2 linked regions of the Xenopus tropicalis genome follow. The protein of the gene in region 1 purifies or fractionates together with the protein of each later gene. This does not show direct contact. Links are inferred from orthologs where the notes say so. Each region holds a gene or a part of one and is shown in the gene's direction. Other genes may lie near its edges. The genes, in order: stk38l and mob2.1.

The links.
Region 2: the proteins of stk38l (region 1) and mob2.1 purify together in Homo sapiens (affinity purification with mass spectrometry; 9 studies listed by BioGRID and IntAct, counting the BioPlex papers as one, with this or other methods). This does not show direct contact. The link is inferred for Xenopus tropicalis from reciprocal best matches to the Homo sapiens genes STK38L and MOB2.

Annotation. Positions count from the first base shown.
Region 1 is NC_030679.2:3,011,279-3,015,872, reverse strand, and holds the start of stk38l (serine/threonine-protein kinase 38-like), read left to right. Parts: upstream 1-1,609; 5' UTR 1,610-1,624; coding exon 1,625-1,758; intron 1,759-3,030; coding exon 3,031-3,082; intron 3,083-3,964; coding exon 3,965-4,087; intron 4,088-4,400; coding exon 4,401-4,484; intron 4,485-4,587; coding exon 4,588-4,594. UniProt on the Homo sapiens protein: Involved in the regulation of structural processes in differentiating and mature neuronal cells.
Region 2 is NC_030680.2:21,630,609-21,634,412, reverse strand, and holds the end of mob2.1 (MOB kinase activator 2), read left to right. Parts: intron 1-286; coding exon 287-447; intron 448-1,047; coding exon 1,048-1,141; intron 1,142-2,095; coding exon 2,096-2,220; intron 2,221-2,509; coding exon 2,510-2,802; 3' UTR 2,803-3,510; downstream 3,511-3,804. UniProt on the Homo sapiens protein: Stimulates the autophosphorylation and kinase activity of STK38 and STK38L.

The DNA of each region.
Region 1 (4,594 bases):
TGGGTGGGTGAGTGCTGCTCAGTGGGTGGGTGAGTGCTGCTCAGTGGGTGGGTGAGTGCTGCTCAGTGGGAGAGTGAGTGCTGCTCAGTGAGAGAGTGAGTGCTGCTCAGTGAGTGCCAGACAGGGGTGCAGGTGAGTGAGGCTCAGTGGGTGGGTGAGTGAGGCTCAGTGGGTGAGTGAGTGCTGCTCAGTGAGTGAGTGCTGCTCAGTGAGAGAGTGAGTGCTGCTCAGTGCGTGAGTGCCAGACAGGGGTGCAGATGAGTGAGGCTCAGTGGGTGAGTGAGTGCTGCTCAGTGGGCGAGTGAGTGCTGCTCAGTGAGTGCCAGACAGGGGTGCAGGTGAGTGAGGCTCAGTGAGAGAGTGAGTGCTGCTTAGTGGGTGAGTGAGTGCTGCTTAGTGGGTGAGTGAGTGCTGCTTAGTGGGTGAGTGAGTGCTGCTTAGTGGGTGAGTGAGTGCTGCTTAGTGGGTGAGTGAGTGCTGCTCAGTGGGTGGGTGAGTGCTGCTCAGTGAGAGAGTGAGTGCTGCTCAGTGAGAGAGTGAGTGCTGCTCAGTGAGAGAGTGAGTGCTGCTCAGTGAGAGAGTGAGTGCTGCTCAGTGAGAGAGTGAGTGCTGCTCAGTGAGAGCGTGAGTGCTGCTCAGTGAGTGCCAGACAGGGGTGCAGGTGAGTGAGGCTCAGTGGGTGGGTGAGTGAGGCTCAGTGGGTGAGTGAGTGCTGCTCAGTGAGAGAGTGAGTGCTGCTCAGTGAGTGCCAGACAGGGGTGCAGGTGAGTGAGGCTCAGTGGGTGGGTGAGTGAGGCTCAGTGGGTGAGTGAGTGCTGCTCAGTGAGTGAGTGCTGCTCAGTGAGAGAGTGAGTGCTGCTCAGTGCGTGAGTGCCAGACAGGGGTGCAGGTGAGTGAGGCTCAGTGGGTGAGTGAGTGCTGCTCAGTGGGCGAGTGAGTGCCAGACAGGGGTGCAGGTGAGTGAGTGCCAGACAGGGGTGCAGGTGAGTGAGGCTCAGTGGGTGAGTGAGTGCTGCTCAGTGAGTGCCAGACAGGGGTGCAGGTGAGTGAGGCTCAGTGGGTGGGTGAGTGAGGCTCAGTGGGTGAGTGAGTGCTGCTCAGTGAGTGCCAGACAGGGGTGCAGGTGAGTGAGGCTCAGTGGGTGAGTGAGTGCTGCTCAGTGAGTGCCAGACAGGGGTGCAGGTGAGTGAGGCTCAGTGGGTGAGTGAGTGCTGCTCAGTGAGTGCCAGACAGGGGTGCAGGTGAGTGAGGCTCAGTGGGTGAGTGAGTGCTGCTCAGTGAGTGCCAGACAGGGGTGCAGGTGAGTGAGGCTCAGAGCGCACGTAGCACGAGGTTTGCACTAATTGCTCCCAGCCAATCACCAGCAGCCGGGGGATATTTGGGCCCCACCCTGAGCTGTAACACTGGCTCCTTGTGGCGCTAATGTCCCGGGTGGGGGGGGGCACCTTCCCCTTTTTCCCCTATTAAACTTACAGGGATTCTTTGTAACCTCTGCCCCTCCCATCCCATTACCCACCCACCGGCCCTGCTGGGAGGCTCTTCCCTGGGCTTGTAGTAGTAGGTACCGGGCCAGGCAGCACCAGGGTCATTGGGCTCTTTCTGTCTCCTCACAGGCACCGTTACTATGGCAATGACAGCGACGAACCCGACGTCTTGTCCAATGAGCAGCCACACCCGGGAGCGGGTCACCGTGGCCAAACTCACTCTGGAGACTTTCTATAGCAACCTGATCCTGCAGCACGAGGAGCGAGAGACCCGGTACCGGCACTTATGGGCTCGGGGGGTTCTGGGTATCATGGGAAATGTTTTATAGGGGGTTCTCTTACTGTCTGTGGGACTGTGGTACCAGCACCCAGCATCCCCCCGATATCCAACTGCGCTCTGATTGGCCCATTGGGAGATCCCACAGCATCTAGCTCAGGCCAGTTAGTGGGGGATTTGGGGTGAGTGCTTATTTGTGCCCTGGGTACCCCTGGAACTATAGCGGGGTGACTGTTACCCCAATGTTTCTATATATCTGTAACCTTGTTATGGGCTAAGGGGGCCCAGCCTGAAGGCCAGTTAGGGGGGGATTTGGGGTGAGTGCTTATTTGTGCCCTGGGTACCCCTGGAACTATAGCGCGGTGACTGTTACCCCAATGTTTCTATATATCTGTAACCTTGTTATGGGCTAAGGGGGCCCAGCCTGAAGGCCAGTTAGGGGGGGATTTGGGGTGAGTGCTTATTTGTGCCCTGGGTACCCCTGGAACTATAGCGGGGTGACTGTTACCCCAATGTTTCTATATATCTGTAACCCTGTTATGGGCTAAGGGGGCCCAGCCTGAAGGCCAGTTAGGGGGGATTTGAGGTGAGTGCTTATTTGTGCCCTGGGTACCCCTGGAACTATAGCGGGGTGACTGTTACCCCAATGTTTCTATATATCTGTAACCTTGTTATGGGCTAAGGGGGCCCAGCCTGAAGGCCAGTTAGGGGGGGATTTGGGGTGAGTGCTTATTTGTGCCCTGGGTACCCCTGGAACTATAGCGGGGTGACTGTTACCCCAATGTTTCTATATATCTGTAACCTTGTTAAGGCAGGAGCAGCACTGGGTCCCCTATTTATCCTATCACTGGAACCATTGACTGGTTACCATGGTTAGTATGCCTAGCAACCAGATAGTGATTCAAATTCCAAAACCAGGAGCTGCAATAAGTAACAGTTCTGACTCTGTAACCTCAGAGGAACTTTCTGATCTGCTATTTTGCTCTGCTGATTCCTGTGCATTGATGTTTCACATCCACAAATCTGTGGAGATTCAGCTTGTGATTCGCTCTCGGCCGCACTCCTTCTTATTGGCCGAGGGTTGGGCAGGCTCACTTGCCCCCCCCCCAGGTTATTATAGTACTGTTGGGGTCATTCCTTAGACCAAACAGCCAGGAAACCCACAGGCTGCAGATGACTTTATGCTGCGCAGGACGACTTTTAAAGTAGTACAGTCTGCAGCAGTCACTAGATCAGACTGATGATATTATGTGTGTGTGTGTGTTACAGGCAGAAGAAGCTGGAGGTCGCCATGGAAGAGGAGGGCTTAGGAGACGACGAGGTAATTTATTTGGTGTTATTTGACTATATTTGCCCCCCCAAATGCCCTCCCCCGATTGTTGCACGCAGGGTCGGACGGGGGGGGGGTGAAGGGCCCACCCCTAAAGGGACATTATAATATAAGTCTTATGCTTCATTGAACATAAAGAAGCAGTGTATGTGTTTGGTATTTCAGCAGCTATCTAGTTGCTAGGGCCTTGTTTACCATAGCAACCAGACATGGGTTTGAACTGGAGACTGAAATATGTATAGGAGAGGGACTGAATAGAAAGATAAATCATTTTTAATTATTTAGAGTGAATTAAAGTGAATAGGAAAGATGTAGAAGAGAAAGACAAATAATTCAAAAACTGTAAAAAAAAAAAAAGCAAACATATTAAAAATTAACTTAAAGATGAACCTACCCCTTTAAGAGAATGCACTTACCTAGGCAGTAGCCAGGGCTGATTTCCCCAACGTTTTTGGCCTTTGCAGCACTGCCGGCTTCCAAGGAGTTTAGCCTCAAGGTCCCTCAGCTGTTTGGATTCACTGAATGCTCCCCCTAGTGGCAGAATGCAGAATCTGTTAACGGATTAGCAACACCCCAAAAAAAAAAAAGTATAAGTAGTATAGGGGGTTCTGCAGTCATGGTAGAAGGGGGGTCCCGACGTGGAAAGTTGGAAAAATGGGGGCTTACAATAGGGGCGGGGCTTTTGTGGACTGGCATGGGTAGGGTGAATATGTGGCAGAGTGAGAGGGACATTGAATCCACATTTTACTTGTTGGTGGGGGCCCCCGGTGACCCCCCTGGTTAGTAGTTTAGGGTCCCATGATGCCTGTGGGTGACAGTCCCAGTTGTACATCAGTTCATTGAAACTCTCGATCTGACCAATTGCCCCAACAGAAAAAAATGCGCCGGTCGCAACACGCCCGGAAGGAAACTGAGTTCCTGCGCCTGAAGAGGACCCGGCTGGGCCTGGAAGACTTTGAGTCCTTGAAAGTCATCGGCCGAGGAGCCTTCGGAGAGGTGGGTGTCTCTCTCTATCCGGCCGAGAGCAACTTTCTAAATCGACATCTTTAAAGGGGAAATTGCCCAAATTGGTATTAAAAAAATTGGAAATGTATTTGCTATTCAGTAGTTTATGTTCTCTGCACTGCTTGTTCTGACTCCTGAACCAATGTAGTAGTAGCCAGATGATGGAGGAGATCCGACTTTCATTGTGTTGTTTCAAGAGTCAGAACCAGAAGGGGCAGATAGTGCTTCTGCCCCACCGTCCCCTCCCTACTGAATCCTGGGAAAGCCACGGATACATTTTTTAATAAAAATCGACCAATTGCAGGTCCGCCTTGTTCAGAAGAAGGACACCGGGCACATCTATGCCATGAAGATCCTACGCAAGGCTGACATGCTGGAGAAAGAACAGGTACGTCTGGTTCCTTAAGAGGCTTTTGCCTCAGGTGTCCCTATGCGGGTCATGCAGAGCCTCTTTGTTCCCATAATGCACCTCTCTCTCTTTGGCGCAACAGGTAGCGC
Region 2 (3,804 bases), on another chromosome or scaffold:
CATAGGAAAGTATCCCGTCCCTTAACCCCATCAGTGCCAGTCACTGTGCTGTAATATAGTGCAGCTGCCCTATACACTTAGGGTATGTACTTGCCCCCCCCCCCCCCCCCGCCGGCCAGGGCCGCCTCCTGTACAGTCCTGTCTGGGCCAGAACACAGGCTGACTTGATTGGCCGTTACACCTGCTAGGTAACCGTGTGGTGCATGCGCGGCTCCCAGATGCACCTCAGTACCCCAACAACACATTGCGCCACACAGTCCCACACAAACTGTTTTATCTCCTGCAGGAAATCGAAGGGAAAGCCGAATGGGAAGAAGCCAGCGTCGGAGGAGAAGAAGTTGTACCTGGAACCAGAATATACCCGGGTCCGAGTCACAGACGTGGAGTTCAAGCAGCTGGTGACCCTGCCGCAGGAGATCGACCTGAATGAGTGGCTGGCCAGTAACGGTGCGTGCCCCTTGCGCAGGCTGGGGTGGCTCCCCGAGAGATTATTGTATTATAGGGGCTCATTGAAGAGGGTGGCAAGGGGCAGAGGTTTCTTTTCGCCATATTGTATCCTTACCCCGCTTTGTGCCCAGCATTGTCAGTGTTTGTGCCCTGCTGCCCTGGCAGGGGCTCCCACCATGGAAGGTGCAGGTTGTACATTGCTCACCAGGGGGCGCAATCGCAGCTGGAGCTCGTACTTAGTGGGCATTCATTGTATCCCCGAGCTCTGCACCTTCTGTGTAAAAGAGGGATTGCCAAATGTTAGGCACCCCCCCCAGTGATTATATTCACTTACCTGATACCCCCGGCGGGTGTTCCTGTTAGCAGAAAACTGCATCAGCCCGGGTGCATCTGAGTGAGCGCGAGAAATAAGTAGCAAGAAATGATCATTCGGTGGTACTTGCAGAAATACCCCATGGTGATTTTACCTTTCCTTTTCCTTTAAGGGGATGCATTAGTGTATAATTGAGGGGTCCCAGCCTTGTGGCCCTTAGTACTCCAGCACTAGCGCCACCTAGTGTTATTCTTCCACCTGACCTGCTTTTCCCCTCTGTATTTCAGTTACAACTTTCTTCAACCACATTAACCTTCAGTACAGCACCATCTCAGAATTCTGCACGGGGGAGACCTGCCAGACTATGGCTGCCTGCAATACGTGAGTTTATTCTTCCTCGCAATAACAAACCCCTCTTTGCACCGTTGCCCCCTAGGATCGTAGGCCTGACCCTCAGTAATGGAGGATTCGACACCCACCTTAATGGCCACCTCCGTCTCACAGGGCAGTGGCGAAGCCCTTGCGTGATTTATAGTTAAATGCAGCTTTTCAGGGGGATCACCACTACACTTGTTGAGGGGGCATCTGCCCAAAATGTTGCACTTGACTGAATTCATCTGTCCTGTGTGCCGACAAAGGCTTTAGTGAGCAACATCCCTCCGGTGTATCCTGCTACATGTACTACTCATAACCAACCTGCCTGCCCCTGGCGGCCGGGCACTGTATTCTGCCCCTGGCGGCCGGGCACTGTATTCTGCCCCTGGCGGCCGGGCACTGTATTCTGCCCCTGGCGGCCGGGCACTGTATTCTGCCCCTGGCGGCCGGGCTCTGTATTCTGCCCCTGGCGGCCGGGCTCTGTAGTCTGCCCCTGGCGGCCGGGCTCTGTAGTCTGCCCCTGGCGGCCGGGCACTGTAGTCTGCCCCTGGCGGCCGGGCACTGTAGTCTGCCCCTGGCGGCCGGGCACTGTAGTCTGCCCCTGGCGGCCGGGCACTGTAGACTGCCCCTGGCGGCCGGGCACTGTAGACTGCCCCTGGCGGCCGGGCACTGTAGTCTGCCCCTGGCGGCCGGGCACTGTATTCTGCCCCTGGCGGCCGGGCACTGTATTCTGCCCCTGGCGGCCGGGCACTGTATTCTGCCCCTGGCGGCCGGGCTCTGTATTCTGCCCCTGGCGGCCGGGCTCTGTATTCTGCCCCTGGCGGCACCTTCCTCCTGCCCACCCTACTCAGGCCGCCTCCTTGTTCCTTTTGGGGTAGCCCTACTCTCCCCTTACCCTGCTGTATATGGATATCTGCCCCCCAGTATAACACCCTTTCCCTGTGCTTTCTCCCATTACAGACAGTACTACTGGTATGACGAGCGGGGTAAGAAGTTAAAGTGCACAGCCCCACAGTACATTGATTTCGTCATGAGCTCTGTACAGAAGCTGGTGACGGATGAGGATGTGTTTCCCACCAAATACGGTGAGTAAGAGGGTTTGTTTCCCCTTTCATTTTGGGTTCAGGGTTATTAGGAGTAGGACACACAGGTTTCCTATACATTTCCTTGGGAGGCAGTAGGACTGGTAAGTCATTGGCATGGGTACATGGTGCTTGTTGGTTGCCATGGCAGCTGCCACTGACTGACCCAGAGATATAAGAGCAGTAACCAGACTGGACACCCTGTTGATTTGAATGGGCCTATGGCACCCATCATTGCTCTGATTGGCTGATATTCGGGATGGCGGATTTACGTGCTATTTCCCTCTCGCAGGCAGGGAATTCCCTAGTTCATTTGAGTCGCTGATTAAGAAGATCTGCCGATACCTATTCCACGTTCTGGCTCACATCTACTCTGCGCATTTCAAGGAAATCACAGCCCTGGAGCTGCACGGACACTTAAACACTCTCTTTATCCACTTTCTCCTATTCGTGCGGGAGTTCAGCCTACTGGACCCCAAGGAGACCTCCATACTGGACGACCTGTCGGAAGTCCTTTTCTCGGAGGAAAACAGGGAGGCTGTGGGAGCTACGGGGGAGGCACAGAACCACGTGAAGGAGAGATGAGTCCCCCCCTTAATGTCCTTATTCCTGTCCCACCACTGCCCCTTCCCAGCGTGCCCCACCCCCTACCGAGAGCTGGCTTACCTCCTGGCTTACAGCACAGGGGAGGAGGGGGTTCAGGACCTGCGCTGCCAGCCTTGGGGGTGTAGGAAGGGAGCACTGGCTGTTATACCCCGGCCTGAGGGAGGAGCAAACCTCGCTCTTATCTTTAGCAGAAAGTTGCACCGAGTATCACCTTATTTTTATTTTGTGTTTGCGTCTGTCTCTTTCTCCCCTCCCCCTCCTTGTTTTTGTTTCTTTCTCATCTCCCTCCCTCCCGTCTTTTCTTTCGTTCCCCCTCTCATCATGGGTGGCAATGCCGTGTCCGGCTTCATTCTCTTATCCCCCAGGAAAGATTTGCATCTTCTATTTTATTTTGCTGTGGTTTTCCAAGAAATGTCTGAGGCTCCTGAGTCGGATGATTGGGCGGAGAGCAGCCAGGGCTGGAAGTGTACGAGGCTCCTTCCTGGCACCTTGTGTGGCCTCTTGCTCCGGAATTGGATCCGCTCTCCCGCGCCCGCCCCATCCTTGGGCAACAACTTCTCTCCCCGACTCCATGGGGATGGGGGAAAGCAGGATGCTCGCCCCTCATTGGGGTGGATAAATACTGTTGGCTTCTTTTAGTTTATCTGTTAAATAATGATAATATTAATAATAAAACAGATTCTATTAGACGATGTGGACGGAGTTTTCCATTGGAGTCGACATGGGGCATTTTATGCACAGCCGCTAATTGTTCTACCCCCCCCGCCCCCTTGCAGCTCATCGTAGAGGGTTAAAGTGATAGTGCCACATTTATCATTGTCACTGTCACTTTAATAAACTCTAAGATGACTTTTGTATCATGCCCCCTGCCTGTCCATTGTCCTTTCGGACCCCTTAAAGTGCAACGTCCTCTTCCGATACATTGTGCCTTTGCATGTTGTCTAGCATCTCACTGTGCCCCCTCCCAACATAGATTCATAG